Linked DNA regions of Drosophila melanogaster. The protein of the gene in region 1 purifies or fractionates together with the protein of each later gene. This does not show direct contact. Each region holds a gene or a part of one and is shown in the gene's direction. Other genes may lie near its edges.

What was found.
Region 2: the proteins of CG5157 (region 1) and CG14259 purify together in Drosophila melanogaster (affinity purification with mass spectrometry, with the first as the bait; one large-scale study listed by BioGRID). This does not show direct contact.

What each region holds. Positions count from the first base shown.
Region 1 is NT_037436.4:16,133,950-16,145,176, reverse strand, and holds CG5157 (uncharacterized protein), read left to right. Parts: upstream 1-7,297; 5' UTR 7,298-8,115; coding exon 8,116-8,475; 3' UTR 8,476-8,690; downstream 8,691-11,227. Other genes in the region: CG32152 (uncharacterized protein), read left to right, coding at 1,392-2,975; CG5151 (uncharacterized protein), read left to right, coding at 3,049-3,137, 3,262-3,850, 3,913-4,716; elg1 (enhanced level of genomic instability 1), read right to left, coding at 8,711-8,981, 9,391-11,227.
Region 2 is NT_033777.3:27,089,520-27,100,743, forward strand, and holds CG14259 (uncharacterized protein), read left to right. Parts: upstream 1-5,013; 5' UTR 5,014-5,133; coding exon 5,134-5,260; intron 5,261-5,319; coding exon 5,320-5,569; intron 5,570-5,693; coding exon 5,694-5,827; intron 5,828-5,896; coding exon 5,897-6,255; 3' UTR 6,256-6,337; downstream 6,338-11,224. Other genes in the region: Cpr97Eb (cuticular protein 97Eb), read right to left, coding at 392-1,087, 1,461-1,472; CG14258 (uncharacterized protein), read left to right, coding at 3,660-3,744, 3,816-4,062, 4,117-4,250, 4,307-4,617; eater, read right to left, coding at 6,405-6,460, 6,516-9,415, 9,814-9,980, 10,040-10,141.

The sequences.
Region 1 (11,227 bases):
GCAAAAACACCGAAACAGTGAGGCGTCAATAATGCAAACTTTGCATCTGAAAAACTAAATTGAACCCTTTAGTTCAAATATCATTGGGAACTTAAGCTTTTGAAAGAAACAGAAGTAAATGTATCTGAAGATTATACAAAGTAATTAAAAAATCCCGGGCACATTTATTTCGGATTATTAGTCCCATAAGCTTATTCACAGCAAGTTTATAGATTAACTTAAAATGGCACCACAAAAAACATCCATTAAAAATACTAACTGCTGTTAAAGTTCACATGTACCAACTTTATGGGCCGCCTTAAAATGGTAATAAGAGAAAATAGTTTCTATTAAAACTGGGAAATTTCGCGCCAGCATAAAAACATTATTAGTATAGTTATGTGGTAACTCTGAGTGTAAGTACACCTTACGAAAAAAAAAGAAAATTTGTACATTAACTTTTGAATATAACACTATGAATATGTATGTGTGTGTCTTGGCAAAAGCAACGATTAGAAAAAGTGTGAAACCTGAAAATAAATTCAAGTTAAATACTTTGGCTTGTACAATCAAATTATAAGGAACATGCTTGCCCACAGAGCTCTTACCACATAGTTTCACAAGTTTTTAATTTACAAAATTGCATTTGCATATTTGTATAATTTACAAAGTACGCGGCCCCCGACGTCGACGAAAATATTCGTGCTCTTTTATTTGTTGTTGCCAGCGCAGAGATTTGTCATTTCTTTCATTCTCGCTTGCACACATCAATCGCCAGGTGGTGTGGTGGGGCATTAGGGGGTTAAGACACACGAAAAAATAAAAATAAAAAGTAATGCAAAAAAAACTTTGAAGAAGGTGGCCAACGGAATGTGGAGCATGCTGAGTTATGCGAATTGTCTGTGCAGAAAACATACGGTGCATAAATCGTGCAGATAGGATATACCAAATTGTTACTGAACATAACATGGATGCAAATAAAAAAATACGTTTTTTTAAATTTACATAAAAAAAATAAGAATCTAACGCGCCAGTTATATCAATTTTTTTAAAACTTACCCACTATTTTGCACTAAATAGATTGAAATGGAGCTGGGCACACTAATATATTCCATATATCGCTTTTACAAATGATGCAGGCAAAATATTACAGTTGCTTATAAGACATTTCTACTAAGGAATCCTAACATCTTACGTAAAATATCTTTAGTGAATCCTATAGGATATTATTTGACCAGTTCTACAAAGGTCGCATCACGACATTATGTTTATTAATCAACGTCCTAAAAGTGACGTCACAAACTTTTTCTCTGCGCCACCTTCCCAATCGGCTTCATCTTTCCCACTTGGAAAGTTACTTCATTTCGCTGGGGAACTTAGTTACCTTATTTATTCTCTCTTAATATACTGCAATGCCTAGTAAGAAGAGTAAAAATGTACTCAATCGAAAGAAACCTGTAAAACTAAGTCTGGCCGAGTTTCACAATCAGCTGGATGAAATGCAAACTGCAAAGACTTGTGAAAAGACGAGCGCGGAGAACTGGAAACATTTTTTCTCGAATGGCAGTGGAATAGCCAATGGAACTCGTGGTCGTGGCGTTTGTTGTGAAAAGCTTTCAATAGTTGACCAAATCGAGGGACGTGCTATAGTTCAGAATGGAGCGACTACCAAAGCGAGAGGGATATTTGAAAGTACATTGAATAGTGTGGCAGAGCGAAAGAAACATTCAGAAAAGTTGGATAATTCCAAGAGTGCAAATCAAACCGTAAAACCCGAAAATAGCGATATCAAAATATCATTACTGCAGAGACCTAATCCCCAGGATGCTACCCAAGCACGGAGCAAAACGCGAGTTCGATCCGCTGGCCGAATTCCCGCGCCGCCAAGAAAGGTGCCCAAAGAACTGGAGGATCTGGATCGCATGACTTCAGCGGATTTCCGACACGATACCGCCGCTCGTCTGGATGTAATGCGAAACCGGCAGAAGGATCAGGCACACATGTACTTCTTTCAATCTGTCATCCATCACCAACGGCATCTCATCAAGGATCGCACAATCCTGGTACTCTGCTGTGGCACTGGAACACTGGCCCTTATGGCAGCCCAAATGGGAGCAAAAAGGGTGTACGCCGTGGACTACTCCAAGGTGACTGGCTATACAACCTTGGTGGTGCGGCAAAATGGCTATGAAGGTGTGATCACGGTCATGAATGGTCGCATGAAGGATCTTAAACTCCCGACGAAAGTAGATGGCATCATATGCAACTGGATGGGTTACTGTTTGCTCTACGAATCGGAGATATTGGAGGTGCTCGAGGCGCGTGATCGCTGGCTAAAGAAAGGCGGCTTTATTCTACCCGATCTGGCAGCTCTTTATCTGGTTGCATCCGAGGAACACAAACTGAAGAGCGAAAGATGCAATCATTGGCGCAATGTCTACGGATTTAATATGAATGCCATACGTCGATATGCGCTGGCTGAACCTTGTGTGGCCCTAACGACCGGCAAAAAACTTCTGACGATGGCTCATTGCGTTCTCAGACTAGATTTGAAAAGAGCCAGAAGAGAGGATCTGTTTATAGATCGAAACATTAGACTAAGTGTCAATAGAGAGGGATATCTCGAGTGCTTTCTTCTCTTTTTCGAAGTGCAGTTTAGTAATAGCTTAAACTTTAAGCTGAGCTGTAATCCCTGCTTAAAGTCGCCTTTCAAATCGCTTTGGATGCAATCGGTACTCTTTGTGGAGCAGCCCTTTGTAATGCGAAAAAATATTCACTACACGGGTAACCTGAAGTTCAAGACACTAAAACCGAATAAATTCAACGAAATGGAGATATGTATTGAGTTTTACGAGGGTAGAGAGTACGATTACGATTTGGTCATGTGCACCCTTCGGGTGGCCAAAAGATGGCTCATGCTGGAGGGCTTTCAGACTTTGAGTGATGTGGAGAGCTGTCAGGACGAGCAGGGGGAGACTGGTGGCCTGTACCTTTAGGTCTCTCTCAATATATATTATTGTTAAGCCCTTCAGTTGACTTTATGCTAATTGTGGTTTCACTTTATTACAGATGCTATCGGTACAGACGGCCGGCTGCGCGGGAATGGAGCGGCTCGGCGTTCCGACCCGCACATCTTTGAGCACACCACCCGATGATAGGTATGTCGAAGTCGAAGTACTCCCTATTGCAAAGCAGAAAATTCTTATAATAGCTTAAATGAAATCCTTTCTAATACCTATATACATACAAATCCATGCTAATTTAATTTCACTTTAATTGTAGGGATCAATTTAGATGTAGAATGCGCGTGGATGCGCTCCAGGCACGTGAGCTTCTGGCTGTACGTGGCGAGACTGTGATTCGCGGCGCCGGCAACAATCAGCATCAGCAGCAACACCATCTCCATCACAGCAGCAGTAGCAGCAACAAGCAACAACATTCCCACCACCAGCAACAACGCATGACAACTCCAAGCACGCACAACTCCAGTGGCGGCAGCGGCGGAGGAGGAGGAGCAGCAGCAGGCGGTGACCACCAACACCACCATCAGCAACACCAGCTGGGCAACAGCAGCAGCAGCAACAACAACAATAGTATTAGCAGTAATGTGGCGCGCGGCGGCATAGAAGCCACCACGCTGAAGTACGGAAACACGGGCAGCGGGAGCGGTAGTGGTTGCTACAAGGGCGACTGCGGCAACTCCTCAACCGGATCCTCGTGCAGTTCGCTGCAGAGCCATAGCAACGACCACCACCAACATTACCAGTACCAGCTGCAGCAGCAGCAAACTCCCCGCTGTCCCCATCACGTACCACTGCCGGACAGCGAGTACGGACAAGATCGACACCTGCAGATCAGGAGCAGCTATCAGGTAGGTTACCTTAAATACACCTTACAGCCATATACTAACTAATCGGCTTTGATCCCAAACAGCAATCGGAGATCACCAGATCATACACGAAGCCGCCGCCCAACAAGACAGTGCGGGATGTGCCCGAGCAGATCTCGGCGGGCGGCTGTGGCGTCTCCAGCTCCAGCTACCGTCTCACCACGCTCCAGGCCGCCTCCTCAACGTACACGCCAGCGGGCGTGTCAGTGTCCGCCTCCTCATCGTCCAGCAAATCGAAGCCGAATGCCATAACCAAGTTCTTCTCGCGGATCAGTTCGCCCAAGTCGCCGCCGAGCTGTACAATGACCTCGGTCGCCACAGCTTCCCCAGCATCCTCCGTCTCCATGTCGTCGTCCGCCTCCTCGCTTGCTTCCTCCGCCTGTGTGTCCACCTCGTCGTCAGCCTCCTCACTGGCTGCTGCGCCTACGCTGCCGGTGTCCAATGCATCCCTGTTGAAAAGCACGGCCTGTGGCTATGGCACAAATCCCAGCGGGATCTATGCAGGCCTGGGACCGAGCACGCAACTGCTTACGAGCCTGGGAACCGGAACAAGCGGCAACTGCAGTCCCGAACGGATACCCACACCACCGTTGTCCGTCTCCGTGCCAATCGGAGCTGGCCTACAGCCGCTGAGAAGTAGCAGCAGCGGGAGTAGCAGCAGTACCGCCAGCCTAGCCGCCGTCGAGACAACCACAACTACAGCCACCACTCAGTCTTCCTTTGCCGCCGGAGCGACGGGGGATCTCCCGCTGACCACGATGAGCCGCAATAATTCCAACTCTAGCATGATGAGCTACCACTGCAGCTGCAATGGCCGAAATTGCAGCCACTGTGCGGCCAACTCATAACTGAGCTCGTGTTAAGTTTAACTACATTAAACAAATCTGGTGGTGCGGAAACCACTGGAGATTTTAGAACATTAGTTAAGTTTCAACAGTTCACTAGCCGATTTGAACTTCTCAAACCGTAAGACTTTGCATGGTATTTGATCATAATTTGTAAACTTACCGCAGGTCTTGTGTCTAAAAAGCTTTACTTGAGGTAAAATATTGCCAAATTTAGTGAAATACTTATCTTTTGTTGTCGAATCTCCAGAGATTTGTGCGGCACCTCCAATATATATATATACATATATATATATATATATATACATATATTTTTTTTATGTTAGCCTATGTTTATCTATTATGTTAAAGTTTAACAGATTTATTTAATGTAGGTCTGTCGCCAACTTTTGCGCTGGTACGAAAAGACTGTTTATTAGTCAGAATTTAATTTGTAAATTTGAGTAACGAGAGGAAAGAAAAGTTAGAGAATGATACGGAGAAGACATATGTATAGTTGCGCTGCCGCCTTTTAAGCACTCACCACAGACCGTAGAAGGTTCATTTTTAAGTTATGTAACATTATTTCCATTCGTCGCTTGATAAAAGTAATAAGTCGAGAACGTTTTTGTAAAAACCAAGAAAGCAACAAACTTGAAAGAGACAGACACAATACCATAAAAACTGAAGAAAGGGAATGAGGAAAGTAAATAACAACACATAAGTGAATATGTAATTGTAATTTTATGAATGAATATTGTATACACTTTAGTTTCAATAACTCTAGTTTTAAATCGAAGCCAACCAACTCTTAACTATACTCTATCCCCCACCCCCACCCCCCTATCCAAATCCCCTTATCCCCTATTATTATTGTACGCAAGGCCCATGTGCTGGAACACACGAAAACACACACAAACAAACAATTTTTAGTTCAATTGAAATTTGTATTTGTATATTTGCTAACGGAATTACGATGTAAAGAAAAAAAAAAACAAAAAATGAAATGAAATCTATGTAAACCAAATTGTAGAGAAATTATTGTTTTCATTTTAAATTGGCTGCAGCTAATCTTGATTTCGGATTTTAGCGGGATACATTTTGAATTTTAAATTTAAAACGTAACGATCGATGAAACTGAAGTTATCGATAACCAATTGCAGTCTGGCAACAACGGGCGATCGTGCATTTTCAAGTGTAACTCTGGTCGAGTTTTGGCGGTTTATTTAAAATTAGATTGGCATTATATTTTTACGTTCTGAGTTTAGGAAAATCAAAGAGTTAAGAAAAAGTCCCATTGCAATGTATATTATAAGCACAATTAAGCAACTCAGAGCTTTTATTGTTTAGATATCCAGCCTTATTTATTAGTCTATAATTTCACGAATTTCTGAAATTCCAAAAATGCGTAATTTTTCAAACAACCCGTGCACCTTGTTGCCCCAAACATTTTATATTGAAATTATCAAAGAGAAGGAAAAACAAAAAATGGTTTCAAGAACTCACGATCCATTAAATCAAGTTTAAAACACATTTAACCAACAATTTAGATGAGAAATGGAATGCGAGAAACTAGGAAAATATGATAACAAATGCAAAATAATGGAAAACGAAAACACTTTACTACGCCAACAAGTCCTACAAGCCTACATTTTAAATACATAACGATATAGTTCGATGTCTATGGATCAAAGAATACTTAAAGTAATGCAACCGGAAATAGCCCGAAATATCACAGAACGAAGAGAAAACCGGAGACAATGAATAACTAAATTAAACGCGTAGAATTTAATCACTTAATTAGTTCTAAACAAATTAAGTCCAGCTAAATATCGAAGCGATTAAACTCGTTTGATCGGAGAATCATATACACATTTATACAAACAGGCCTAATTTCAACTACCTCCAAAACTGTTTTTTAAATTAAAAATTAAATTCTAAACGAAGATCAAGTCTACGAATTATGTTTAGCGAAACTAAACGGAAACTAAGTAAATCAAATGAAATGAAACAAATCGATTAAATTATAGTAAATCAATTGATTGAATTACGATTTTTTTAAATTCAAGCAGATCGATTAATTCAATAAATCAACAATCATTGACAAGTAATTAATTTTACACTTTATATATACGATATTTATTACTATATTGTATCTGTACGTTTAGATCGAGAATACAAATGAAAGCGCACACGAGCTGCGTTTCGAAAATGCAAAACCGTCGACTGATATATATAAATATATATATAACAAAAGCTAAATAAATAAAGTAAATAACAAGAAAAGTATAGAGATTCATTTGTAAATACACCGAATGCAGGACAATGCGCTGCGGAGCATTATGTTAATGTAACCACACCCAATCCCAAACAGTTTCTCAACAACTTTTCGAAACCATCCGAGATCAAAATCATCCCATCTACCATCTCCCACTTCCCAGAAAATCGAATTTGATTTTTGATCCCTGCAGGCAAAGTGCACCCAATACTAGCGAAATTTTTTAAAGCGCATTATGCAAAACGTCTAATATACAAAAATCGGAATAAAAATCGATATATATCTAAATACATATATATATTAATTGAATACCAATTATTGTTGTTGTCTCATATAAAACGCAAAAGCATTAAAAGCAAAAAAACAAAAATGGGAAAAATGAAAGCAAATTTAAAATATATTTCCAAAATATATAGAACATAACTATGAAAACATAAAAACCGTTTTTTCTTTAAGCAACCAAATTTGTTGTCAACTGGAAACTTTTAGCTTTGATTGGCACTTGACACACATTATTGCATTTTGGGTTTGACTGATTGTACGATATGAACCCTGCAATGTTCCAGTTATCAATAAATGGTGTCGAAGTTAATGGACATAACTAACTCAAAGAAAATTCCCACCATAAATTACTCAACGGGAAGTGTTCAAGTGAATCATAAACTGTGCTTAGATTTCACCAACGATAGAAACCCACTCAATGACAACTCGCGCCATCCATTTGCATTAATGATTTGCACAAATCCCACCCAAAAAAAGGAGATTGGTCACTGCCCACACTAGTAGCAGGTCGCCTTGAAAGACGGTGAAATTCTCACGTATTTCTTATCAACCACAATGCAGACAGATTGTGGAAATAACTGAAATAAAACAGCAAATAGTAATTGCCCGTCGAGGGGGAAATGGGGGAGAACAGGTACAAGGCAAGTACAAGCGATCTAGGCGATTGTTTGAACTATTGATAAATGTTAAACATAAGCAAGGGTCGCCCCTTGGCACGCGTCCAGTGTTTCCGAGTCCGTCCAACGGTTAACAGCTCCTAAAATTATCGAATCAAGAGCGCGACTTATTAAACGCAAATTAACAGCAGCCATTAAAAGACATTCGCGAACAGCGGAAAGCAATTAGGAAATCAAATCAGCAATATGTCACAGTTGTACGAACTCTCGGAGGTGGCCCAGCAGAACGGCAAGAATGGCAAACCCTGCTGGCTGATCATCAAGGGGAACGTGTACGATGTAACCAAGTTCCTCGGCGAGCATCCTGGCGGCAGTGAAGCACTACTCGAATATGGCGGCAAGGATGCCACCAAGGCCTTCAAGCAGGCAGGCCATTCCTCCGACGCAGAAAAGGATCTAAAGAACTACAAAATCGGAGAAATCAACTCAGCTGCACCCATTCAAGTGCAGCCAACGTCCAATGGTGCAGCAAAGCCGACGGCAAACACAATATCCGAAGATCCCGAACCCGCGAAGAATAGCTCCTCCGGTTTCTGTTGCTGCTAGTCATAGGTTTACATGTCATTTGATTGATTTATTAACATAGGATGAGGTCGTAGTTAGTTTATCATAGTTAAATTGTAAATAGTTCTAGGTTTATCTCATAATAGCTACATCTTCATGTCCACAAAGCTATCTTAAAAAAGATCAACTCTTCTTAAACGATCTGAATAAATTGCAAACAAAGCCGGCGGAGCTGCTCCACCAATTTCAAAAAAATTAAACTAAATCCAAACGATGCCTAATCTTTCGGTTCGGCCTCCATGGTTGGCTCGCTGCTGGGGGCAGCCGATTGGAACGTACTGCATGCAGTGTCAAAGTAATCCGTCGTGAAACTGGTCACGTTTACCGTGTGGTTGCGCAGATAGTGATAGAATCTACTCGACTTCCGTTCCAGTCCTGCCCGTTCCTTTTCGCTGCGGCATATGGAGCGCAGGGCGGGCTCGAAGTCCAGCGATTTGGCGGAGTCGGAACGGAGAACTCCGTTGCCCAGGTGCTGGCAAATTGAAAACCTGGAAAGATTACAGAAAGTTATAAAAAATGAAAAAATTAAAGCATAACTAAAATAAGTTTGGTATCTAATTAGTGAAAAGTCTGGGCACTAATTTAATGAATAGGTGTGTTCCTAAGATAGTTATAAGATCGGTCATTTTTATGACAAGGCTATTAGAATTCCGAACGCTAAAGATATCTTGTGACTAGTTGTTATTATGACTGCTGGATGATAACAAAACCCCGGTTTCCTTTTTCCATCGATTACTGCCATGACAGCTAATTAAGTTAGCATTATTAAGCCTTAAAATGTGTTTAAAGCAAAATAGATATAGATACAGATAGATATTGTTAATAAAGATCTTTTGATATTAAAGTGTTTATATATTGGCTTAGTTAAAGAGTAACTCATCATTTTGAAAATCTTACCTCTGAACCGGCTTATCAAATAGATTGTAGGGGCACTCCTTGGTCGCGAGTCCAGTTTGGAGAGCCTGCTCCACCAGCAGGTGACCGATTTCTTCGGACAGGTGCCACTGCAAGCGATCACTGCAGTCGGAGTCCATCAACGAAGCCACCGAAATGTTGTCATAGAAGGATGCCAATGTGGCGAGCGATGAGCTGTGCCCATCGGACTTCTGCCCAGTGGCGCTGCTCAGCCAGGCCTTCTTTGGTGAGCGGGACTTCCGCTTGGCAGCGGTTCTACTTCCACCGCCCGCTGCCTGCTGCTCCTTTAGCATCGCCGAACTAGCCATAAGATCGGGGAGATTCAAACGCAAGAGGCTGAAGTCAACGGGAAAGGGTATTCGATACTGGACATTCTGCGGGCTTGTAAAGAACTCAAAGAATCTCTGATGGATTCGACTGCCATCGACGGTGGCCAGCCGGCTATTTGAGGTTTTGGTTGGTGATTTAATCCCACCGCCAGTCCTATCGCGAGTTGAATCTCCACCACTCTGAATGTAGAACTGAAGTTCCATCAACGTCTTGCGCAGATTCTGTTGATTGTATAGATACACGGATATCAATTCGTCCAACTCGATGGGACAGTTTTCCATTAGCGATAAAACGGCCAAGAATCGGGAGATGTTCAATGCGTTCGGAGCTTGGAAATGGATTATATTCTGCTGCATTAGGCGCTGCAAGTGCGCGCAATTCGGATCCGTGGCAACCACAATGACCGGCCTCTTGGAACTGGCGGCCAATGTATAAATGGCATCCGTAAATCCAGCGTCCAAGTTATCAAACAAGATATCCGCATCCTCGATTAGGATCAGAGACTTCCGTACTTCGGAAGGAGGTTCCACTGCGGCTGCTTTTGCTTTTAATCCACTCTTTTGCAACTTTTGAAGCAACTGCTGTGAGGATCCTCCACCCGCTTTACCATCTTTCCTTATCTGATGCGACTGCGTGGCCTCTTGAAGTTCCTGTATCAGCTTCTTGCCCGTCCTCTTCATCCCTGCATTTATCTCCAAGACATTAAAGTTCATGTCGTTGGCTAAGGTAAAAACGGCATTGGTCTTCCCGCTGGATGAAGGTCCGACCAGAACCATCGTGTTGCTACTTGAGCCCATTGATGCCGAATCATTGCTCATGTCAAAGGTGTCATCCATGCCCTGCGAGTTTCGATTGCTACCTCCATTGCCACTCCAGCTGGACAGGAACTCCCTAAGCTCCTGCACTGGCGTCAGATTCACCAGAACCTGTTCGAACAGCAGCGGTTTGTACTTCTCCGTAAAGAGCAGCTCGCCATTCGGAGCGGAAGGCGGTGGTTTCGCCTCCTCTTCGTTCTGTGCCATATTCTGCTCCATTGAACGGCGAGTGCGACGTGTTACCACCAGTGATTCTCCCATTTGCTGCGTATCCTGTGCACTGTCAATGGCGCTGAAGTGGCGATACTTCTCCCTCATCTGGTTATAGCACTTAAAGGTGGGAAACCGATCGAAATCATTCTTCCAGAGCTTCACAAAGCCACGTTTATTTTCCAGCTGTGGCAAAGTTGCATAGTTGAACTTGTTCAAAGTTTTGCTGGATGTAAAATCCGCGGGCAGACAGCTGGTGATGCTACTCGCTTTGGCACGTCGTTTGTTGGCGGGTAACGCTTTCGTAACCTCGGAATATTCCTCTTCTGCCCTCAGAGCAAAGGGAATGTCCAGAGGACCGTTTTTTGAACCGAAGCTCTCGCAGCCTATATGCGCCAGTCTGGGAAACACTTCATAGCTATCTTCGTACATCTGGTCGAAGTTCTTTTGACGGATCTGCTCCT
Region 2 (11,224 bases), on another chromosome or scaffold:
TGAATGCCAAAGCAGATATTTCAAATACTTCTGAGCACTGAGAATAATTACTTAGCAGTAAATGACAGCGAAAAGGGTAGCGTAAATTGATTGAATGTTTACTAGTTGTCTTTAACACCCTAATTGCCTTTGATTTTCATAGCAATTACCAAAACATTTAATGATTTCAGAACACTTTCGTTTTCTCTGTAAACGCTTCAGGTTTCAAAACTCGATTTATTACACACATTCAAGAACATATATAAACAGGTACAGTAATAGATACATGTGTGGGGTGTGCGGAGTGACTGATTTATTTGGCAGTAACAAGTTGACATTGTCCTCGGACACTTCAGTCCCTGACTCTCTGGCCCAACTCAGAGGTGATCCCCCCATCAAAAGGTCCTCCTTCCTACTTCCGGCCCGTATAGTCGATGCTATAGGAACCGGTGTAGAGGTTGAGATTTCGCAGGGAGGGATGATGTTGCTCCGGCAACCCCCTGTATGGCTGTTGCTGCTGGGGATTATAGTAGTTCTGGGCCGGAGGCTGGTAGTAACGGGGCTGCGGAGCCGGGGGATTGTAGTATTGGGGTGTGGGATTGTAGTAGGGCGTTTGTGGGGCGGGCTGCCGAGGTGGCGGGGCATACGCCTGCTGCTGGCCGCGGCCGAAATCGTTCAGACTGAATTTACTGGCCGGTGAAAGGGGGCGATTGAACTTCTGGTCCTTGTAGTACACCGAGGGGTCCTCACGATACTGGCCATCGTCCAATTCGTTGGGTCCCAATGGATAGGGATTGCTGTTGGTCAGCGTAGGTGGTGGCACATTGATGTGACTGCCAGCGGGCTCAAAGCCACGCTTACTGGCTCCATACTCTATTTCCCGCACTTTTCCCTGGTCATCCACATAACCGTACTTTCCATAGACCTCTCCATTCGCGTACTTGGTTTCGATCTTGAAGCTCTTATCGGCCGCTTCGTATCCATATGTGTAGGAACCATCGTCGTTGTGCTTGTCGATCTGCTTGAGAATGGGCACCGGTGTGGTGTAGTCCTGGTGTTGCGCATACGCACTGTGGGCCGCCAGAAGCAGAAGACCCAAGCTCAAGGTCTGCAAATTGAAAAACAAAGAGTTGAGTGAAAAAGTGACTCAAATCGTTTGTATCATTAAATCACCATTTCGGTCACACCCATCTGTAAAGTCAGCAATTATACATGAACTTTGCCTTTATTGCCTTACTTTTGGCTAAATACCTTAATTAGCTGCTCTGATTATCAGTTCACAAACATTCACTCAAGGACATGGCTGAGTAATGAACCACCAATTAAGTTACTCTTTATCATAGACACCGATCTGATCAAACCGGTTGGCTAAATTGCATTCTAAAAATTCACTGCGCATATTCTGAAAACACCTTTTGCATACCGATATGAATATCGAGCTTTGGAGATGTAACACTATAAACCACCTTGCTGAATCTTACCAATTTCAACATGCTGCCAAGCTTAGAACCAATTGTCAATGTCGAACCGTTTTCACCAATCTCCCAAAGTAGTTATGCACTGCGAAAATGGAAAATGTGTTCTGCACTTGCACTCGAGACTCTGCGAATCGAAACGACAAACTCAAAAGAAAATCAGGGCGTGCAACGCTTTTTATACCGCAGTCAACATTTCGCAAAAGCGGGCCAAGAGGGGAAAAAACCATGGCAGAAACTAAAGCTTCAAGCCGAAGTCTCTGGATCTGGCGATCAGCTGCGATCAGAAAACGAAAACGAATACGTTAACCGAGGCCCGAGCTCCCGATCCGATCCGAGAACCGATTCGACTTGGCTTGGAATGCAGCATAGAAATCGAAAGCGGTCGTCGGCCAGCTGTACTTACGTCCGATCGATATGCCCACTCACTCACCTCTACAGGTAATTCACTTACCAGCAGCAAGCCGACGCGCAGCAATTTCCAATCAGGTTGTTAATGTCGTCTACTCGAATTCTTGGCCAGCAATTTATGCTTCCAGACCGCAACACTCACGCATACGCAATGAGATCAGAGCAGCAACAGTGATGAGAACTAGGTACACTTGGTACACTTACACTCCATATCCTACTCATATTGGCACACTCTAGTTTGAGGTACAAAGTGCGATGTAAAATAGTTTTCAAGTGCCATCTAAAAACTTTTACAATTCACATCGATTTATCAGGTGTTAGTTATCTTTAAAGTTTATTTCATAGACACAATTAAAAAGTACCTTTGGCATCACTGAAATCTACAATCCAGAAAAGAATAAAATGCCAGTACTGCGAGGTGCGGAAGTGTTGCACTTGCTAAGCATTCCAATTATGCAAGTCAATTCCCCCCCACCTGCTAATCGATTGCAAATACCTGTCCAAACACCTTGCTCCCAGTTAAGTGCACTGGCCAATGGCAATCTGCATCCACAACATGCAATTTGACAGCTTATTTAGCCATTTCTCTTAGCCTGTCAAAACTCACACTTGAAGCTAGGAAAAGAAAGCAATACAAAAACTTATATGCTGGCATACTGACCTAGTCAATGCTTTGGCTAAAGAAACAGGTTGCTGAAATTACGTCATAGATAGGCAGAAAAAAATGTGATGGTTTGACTAGATCTCTGGAGATTTCTAGAATTTAAATTAGTTTATATGATGTTTTCTTTTTATTTCACAAACAACCAGTTAAGTAGGATCCAATTTATATAAAATAAATTGCCAAAATCCCCAAGCCACATTCAAAACAAACACAGTTGTCAACCTACATTATAATACTGAATTTATTCCATTTATTTCGGGGGATTTGCATTCATCTATCTGAAATCACATTCTACACTGTGCAAAATACACCAAATAACAAGTCATATAGCATATTCATCAAATAATAATGCAGAACCACAGATTTTCAGGTCTCACTGTGGCAAAGAATAAAAATGTATGCGTATTTAAAATAAGAAAATTCCCATGATACATAATTCATAATTAGTTGTTTTCTGTGTAGGTACTTATGTCAAAACCACAAGTTCGTTAACCCAAGAACCGCAGACCTTGGTCATGGTTGCATGCAGATAAATACATTCGCTTGGCTTCTTTTCCTCACTTGAGTATGCATATATGCAAAGATAGTTTGCTAGAATTGTCGCCTATAATTAATTGGAATATATATTCTTAAGAGAGATCTACTAAACTAAATAAATCCGTCAGCATTACAGTCGTCGCATCTTAATGATCTTGTAGAACCAGTTCGGCTCCAGCGAAAGTGAGATAGAATATATAGAATAGAATATATGTCTAAGTATCTAGATATATGTATTATGACAGTACTTTACAACTGGAAATGGAGTCGCCGGCGAGGCAAAGGCTAAGTAATATTATAAAAATTAATGCATTTTCGAGCTAGGGTATCGCATCAGATGAATCGAAAGATTTGGGCACCCTGTACGACCACAACAAGTCTAATGCGGCCAAACTCGTTTACTTACTAATTGTACCGAAATAAATAAAATAAATATATATAAATCGGCAAAACAAAGAAATGATTTTAAAAGTTATACATTCGAGCGGTCCATTTCGAATAAAATTACCGGCGGCCAGACAGAATCGTCATTTCAATCAGAGCATTCAAAGAAAACGGTTCTAGTCATCACATTTTGGAATAAAATTATCAAGATGCTTATTAAAGTTGCCAAGTTCCTGAGTATTGTAGCCGTACTCCTTTCAGCAGTCGAAGGAGCTAAATATCTGGCAGAGAAACGTAATAAACATTTAATACAACATATTTTGGTTGAGTTAAGTTAATAATATTCTTAAATGTACAACTTTCAGCCGACTTCCTAATCCCATGTATCGTGGGCGATCCCAACTTTAATGTCTGTCTGACCAAAAACTTCCAGAGTTTCTTCCGTCAGTGGAAGGACGGAATTCCCGGCTACAATGCCGTGGGATCCTTTGATCCTTTTTACATCAAGAGAGTGAAATTTACCCAGGATGCCAGCAGGTCTATAGCTATCAATGCCGATCTGAAGGAAGTCTATGTAGCAGGTGCTGGTCAAGCATTAGTCTTGGAATCCAGGTAACCTATTTAAAGATTCTGACGAAATCAAGTTTGACCATTAAAAATTCTCAGCTGGGATCCAAATCACTATGTAGCCAGGACTTTGATTTCCGTGCCCAAGTTGCGTTTCAATTTCGATTACAAAGTCAAAGGACACGTCTCAGCGCTGAATCTCAATGGTCATGGCAAGGGATACTTCGAAGCTGGTAAGATGCAATCTACAATTTATGCGAATTACTATCTTAAAGCCGGTTTTATTCAGAAAATGCTCTGTTATTGTTGGAATTGGCTGTCAAACCGCTGGCCACCTCAGATGGTTATTTCGCTGATGTGCAAAGTGTAAAGGTAAATTTCCGCGAGATCAAGCAATTCCGCATCAAGCTGGAAAATCTCTTTGGCGGCAACAAGGATCTGGAGGATACTGCACACATTTTGTTCAACGAAAACTGGCGCGACTTCTTTGAGGTACTGCGTCCGGCGGTGGAGCAAACAGTTGGCGGAGTGCTTTTGGATCGGTTCAAGAAGACCTTTGTCTATGTACCAGCTACCTATTTGATTAAAGACTTTCACTAAATGCTAAATTAGCATATAATCCGGTACTTCTATGTTATTTTAATGGGTTCGTGTGCTCTGTCGTTTTGTATTAAATGGGTAGTAGTGTATGCTTGATTTATTTTTTGGTGGCACTGTATTAGAATTATATTACAAATTATTTTCATATCTTTGCATTCAAAGTGCTTCTATTATATTTTCATCTTTAGATACTTTTCTCACTGTATACTCGCTATTAAGTCAGGAAATAGGTGAATTAAAATGATATTATATTCAGCAACATGAGTTGCTCTTGGCCCCGGCATCGTTAGGTTGCTGTAAGTCGTTACCATATATGAGAACCCAAATCTCGAATCTTGGCAGTTGAGAATAAAACGCCGGATCACAGCAAGTCGCCGGCTAGTCGGTTTCAAAGCGTGACACTGTTTGATGTGACTGAGCAGCGGCTGCCTAGACCGCGATACGTCTACAGTACTATTCGCTGAGCTACTTAGATACTTAACTACTTGATTAATAAACAGTTGCCAAAACGACACCATGAGCAGCACGCGCTACGGCCGCACTTTGCTCGGCATTTGGAGTGGATTATTGGCCATTTTGTGCCTGAATGAAATCGCCATGGATAGGTCGTTGGTTTCAGCCGTTGCCTACTACTCCGAAAAACGTAAGTAGATGTCCTCAGAGTCGCAGTTCTTTTCAATGTTAGCAAATCGTGTTGCTCAGCTGCCTTTCTGCCATCTTGTCGGATCTACGAACCGGGCTTCACCAAGTGCTCTACGAATAGCATTCAGAAGCTTCTTGATCAGTTGAACATTGGAATACCAGAGGTGCTCGAGCGGTTCGGTCCCTTTGATCCCATGAGAGTTAGGGATATAGTTTTCAAGCAGGATAACAACGAGGTGGCCACCATCAGAGCCAATCTGACTGACCTGGTGGTCAAGGGTTTTGCCAACACAAAGGTCAAGGAGAGTCGGTGAGTACAAAGAATATGAAAGTCCTACAGATAAATTATGTATATTTATACTGCTGCTTTTGGAGTCAATAAATCTCTGCAACTTTGCGGAACAAATATATAAATATCTTTTTTCGACCACCAGTGTGAGCAAGAAAGACTTTAGCTGGCAGACCAAAATATATCTTCCGAAAATGAGACTGGATGGAAGGTATGAAATGGCTGGACGAATACTCCTTATACCACTGAGTGGCTCTGGCAAAATATTTATTGAGATTGGTAATTAGATTTCTATCGATATTTAAATGCGGGTGCAAATGGGCAGCTAACACTTTTAAATTCCCGCAGATGATCTTGACATTTTGCTACTAACAAAAATACGTCTGTATGAAAAGGGTGGCTTCACCTTCGACAACGTGACCGCTGTGCAGGTTCAACTGAATCTGTCCAAAGTGCGCACTTATCTGGACAATCTATTCAATGGACGTAGCAAGGAGGTGGAGCGCAGTACGAATGAGTTTTTCAATGAAAACTGGCGGGATTTCTACGAGGCCCTGAAACCACTCATCGTTGAGACGGTGGAAAATATCCTTTATGATGTAATGTCTACGGTTTTTCATTTAATACCAGCCAACTTTTTCGTTGAGGACATACCAACGCCCCAGCAACTTTATGGTCCAAAGGAGATACTTGGCAAAAAAGAATAGTTGAGTGATATCTATTATTGTTAACTTGTAGTACGCCATCCCCAAATTCTTTCAATATTTGTAATAAAAATCATTAACGAATATCCATTTTTCATTTTATCAGTAACTTTTATTGTATAATGAGAATATTGCTGACTTCCCGCTAAAGCTCAGGCTCGAATGATATCAACCTTATTGGGAGAGAAATATACACCGAACTCCCTCTCTGAAAACGAGAAAAATCATTAAGTTATTCAAAAACTGTTTGAAACATGGCTTACCATTCTTGTCCACGTGATATGAGCGTTTCCTAAATATATAAATAATCAGCATGGTGGTTATTATTGCCAAGATGAAGGCCATAGAAACAATCGTTATAAATACCCACTTCAAGTGTCTTTCACTCTTTTCATGGCCTGTAAGGGACCCAAGTGAATCCATAGATTGGCATGAGTATCCATCTATCGGACTCTCACCATCCCAGCAGACACAAGAACCCGGAAATTCGCAGAGCCCATTGAGGCACTCGGGTTCGCAAATCGGAAGACAGATCAAATTGTTGTCGTCCTCATTCCTATGCAGCTTATATTGTTTACTACAAGTACAAATTCCTTCGACGCAGGTTCCATTTCGGCAGTTCTTATCACAATCTGAATAATCCCCAAGTAGCTCCTTGTCAAGCTGGCAACTTTTACTTTCTTCAACGAAAATGTAACCGTCATCGCACTTGCAAAAATCTGGAGAAACGCAAAGCCCGTTGACACACCCGTCCTTACAAAAAGGTGCACAACTGATTTCCGTTTCCTTGCTGTATCCTTCATCACAGGAACACTTTCCTGGTGCAACACAGAATCCGTTCTTGCATCCACCTGAACAAACTGGAGAACATCTGTTTTCACTGTCCATTTCATATCCATCATTGCAGGAACACTTTTCTGGTGCATCACAAAATCCGTTCTCACATCCTTTTGAGCAAATTGGTTTGCAACTGTTTCCTGTTTCCCTGCTGTATCCTTCATCACAGGAACACTTTCCTGGTGCAATACAGAATCCGTTCTTGCATCCACCTGAGCAAACTGGAGAACATCTGTTTTCACCGTCCATTTCATATCCATCATTGCAGGAACACTTTTCTGGTGCTTCACAAAATCCGTTCTCACATCCTTTTGAGCAAATTGGTTTGCAACTGTTTCCTGTTTCCTTGCTGTATCCTTCATCACAGGAACACTTTCCTGGGGCAACGCAGAATCCGTTCTTGCATCCACCTGAGCAAACTGGAGAACATCTGTTTTCACTGTCCATTTCATATCCATCATTGCAGGAACACTTTTCTGGTGCATCACAGAATCCGTTCTCACATCCTTTTGAGCAAATTGGTTTGCAACTGTTTCCTGTTTCCTTGCTGTATCCTTCATCACAGGAACACTTTCCTGGTGCAATACAGAATCCGTTCTTGCATCCACCTGAGCAAACTGGAGAACATCTGTTTTCACTGTCCATTTCATATCCATCATTGCAGGAACACTTTTCTGGTGCATCACAAAATCCGTTCTCACATCCTTTTGAGCAAATTGGTTTGCAACTGTTTCCTGTTTCCTTGCTGTATCCTTCATCACAGGAACACTTTCCTGGGGCAACGCAGAATCCGTTCTTGCATCCACCTGAGCAAACTGGAGAACATCTGTTTTCACCGTCCATTTCATATCCATCATTGCAGGAACACTTTTCTGGTGCATCACAGAATCCGTTCTCACATCCATTTGAGCAAATTGGTTTACAACTGTTTCCTGTTTCCTTGCTGTATCCTTCATCACAGGAACACTTTTCTGGGGCAACACAGAATCCGTTCTTGCATCCACCTGAGCAAACTGGAGAACATCTGTTTTCACCGTCCATTTCATATCCATCATTGCAGGAACACTTTTCTGGTGCATCACAGAATCCGTTCTCACATCCTTTTGAGCAAATTGGTTTGCAACTGTTTCCTGTTTCCTTGCTGTATCCTTCATCACAGGAACACTTTCCTGGTGCAACACAGAATCCGTTCTTGCATCCACCTGAGCAAACTGGAGAACATCTGTTTTCACTGTCCATTTCATATCCATCATTGCAGGAACACTTTTCTGGTGCATCACAAAATCCGTTCTCACATCCTTTTGAGCAAATTGGTTTGCAACTGTTTCCTGTTTCCTTGCTGTATCCTTCATCACAGGAACACTTTCCTGGGGCAACGCAGAATCCGTTCTTGCATCCACCTGAGCAAACTGGAGAACATCTGTTTTCACCGTCCATTTCATATCCATCATTGCAGGAACACTTTTCTGGTGCATCACAAAATCCGTTCTCACATCCTTTTGAGCAAATTGGTTTACAACTGTTTCCTGTTCCCTTGATGTATCCTTCATCACAGGAACACTTTCCTGGGGCAACACAGAATCCGTTCTTGCACCCACCTGAGCAAACTGGAGAACATCTGTTTTCACTGTCCATTTCATATCCATCATTGCAGGAACACTTTTCTGGAGAAGCACAGAATCCGTTCACGCATCCATCCTTGCAAACAGGAGTGCAGACACCTTCCAGCTTCGTGTACCCGGCGTTGCAGGAGCACTCGTTGGGCGCCACGCAGACTCCGTTCTGGCAACCCTCGGGACAAACGGCCAAGCAGACATTGTGCCCTATTTTCGTATATCCCGTCAGGCATTGACAGACGTCCGGGGCAGTGCAGTTTCCATTCACGCATCCGTTTTCGCAGATTGGAACGCAGTTTCCATCGATGTCCTTTTCGTAGAATTTGTTGCACTCACATTTGTCGGGAGCCCGGCAAACTCCGTTGCTACAGCCATTTTTGCATTTCGGCTGACACTCAAACGATTTGGACTTTGGCTTGGGAATGAAACCTGGATTGCACTCGCAGCGATTCGGAGCCGCGCAGAAGCCATTGACTGCCGCGCAGTTATCCTTGCACGTTGGCAGACACACCTGGGTGGTTGGATTCAGCTTGTATCCTTTGTTGCAACTACAATTGTTGGGCGTTATGCAAGTCCCATTGGGACAACCACTAGCACATTGGGGTATGCAGTTGTTTGTCGTTTTGTCCAGCAGATGGCGCGCGGAACAGATACAGCGGCCAGGAGATTGGCAGGTTCCTCGACTACATCCCTTGCAGTAGGGCACACATCTGTACGAAATAGAGAAAAGCAAATGTCATAAATCAATGGACATAAATCGATGCATTTAAGGCAATCTTTTAAGTTTTCATTTTGGCAAACTTTTTATCTCGTATGTGAATTTTGCAATTTAAAATGACCGTTTATGACCTCCTAATCAACATTCATTTCCTTCTTTTTAATGGGACGATATTTGTATTTTACCGAGTTATTATCATGCATTTTATTTGAACACACAAATGAATTAAAATGAATGAAGCTGGCGTTGGAAATACTATCCTACGACTTGACGATTATATATTCAGAGAACCTATTTATACACTGATACATTAAGTAATACAAACTGTCCCGATTAAATATTGATTATATATACAAATTGAGTCTTATTCTTTTAGATCGTATTACCTACCGGTTAGATGGATCGTTATTTAAGTTGACATATCCTTTCTTGCAGGTACATACATTTGGTTTCGTGCAGAAGCCACTTCCACAATTAACTTTGCATTGTGCAAGACATCTGAGTGCGGAGCTCCTTACTTTTTTGTAACCCTTGCAGCAATCCCTCGTTTGAACGTTCTAAGCCCGTAAATTAATTAAATAATGAATTGAATTATTATTTTTGATGGACCGCCTACCACAGCAGTTCCTTTAATATTCCTAGTAACATTAACAGTGCAGATCTGAGCCGATACGAGTCCGAGGAGCAGGGAATATATGGTTATCCTACAAATCCACATGGTGTCTTTAAGTATACAACTGATCCCGGTGCCTTTCAAAATATTACTAAAGACGCTTGAGCTAAATATATTTTTGCAAATGCTTTTGCTTGAAACAAAACTTGCGGAGGGGACTTATCAGAGAACTCAATTCAAGCAAATCCCATGGAGATTTTTACCAAGCGGTTAGTGGAGCTAAATTGCTTATCGCAATTCTATTCTCCTTTATAAGAAGAATGAGAGAGGATCTCGCCCAGTCTGCCAAAGAGCAATAAACAAAGGAAAATTTGAAGGTCTTTCATTTGTTGTTACAAAAGTCATTACTCCAAATATTTATCATATTTAATTTCAATTTGTAAAACAAGACGCCACTTTTTGTGATAAATCAATTTTTACCATTATTAATATCAACATCTGTTCGCACTACATGCGTTTTAAAACTATTTAGCAGAATATAGGGTATGTATCAGTCGGACTAACCGACTATAGGGTATACATATCTGTATTTTACTATGTTAATCAAACTAGGCTTGTGTATAAGAACGAAATATGAGAGCATAAGAAAATGTAATGAATTGTAATTGTAATACGAGAATAAAAGTATACAACGATCAGCAGAGGTTAATATACTCTTGCATATGATCTATAAATACTGATGGATATCTATTATAACATTCGAACACATCTAATGCATTTTTTTAAGCTCAGAGAATCGTTAAAAACAGTCGGTGATTCTGATAAAAAAAATATACATTTAAGTTACGAACTTCTTATCAAAGTAATGATACCCTTCTTTAGGGTGTAAAGGGTGATTGGCTCTTTATAGAGGTTATGCTCGCAAATGTTAAATATAATATATATAAAATACTAGACCATGACATAATTCAACTATGTAGGACTAAAATTTATAGTTAGATGAGAGTCATGAAAATCTTTGTAAATAAATACCGGAACAATCCCTCTCTCACATTTTTTGTGACTTTATAACTATCTAACACCCACTCAATGGATACTCAGATACACACAGCAATCTCAAAAATATATGACATCATTCGAGCGATTTTTGAAGTTTGATCCATGTATTTATACTTATTGCAGTTATTA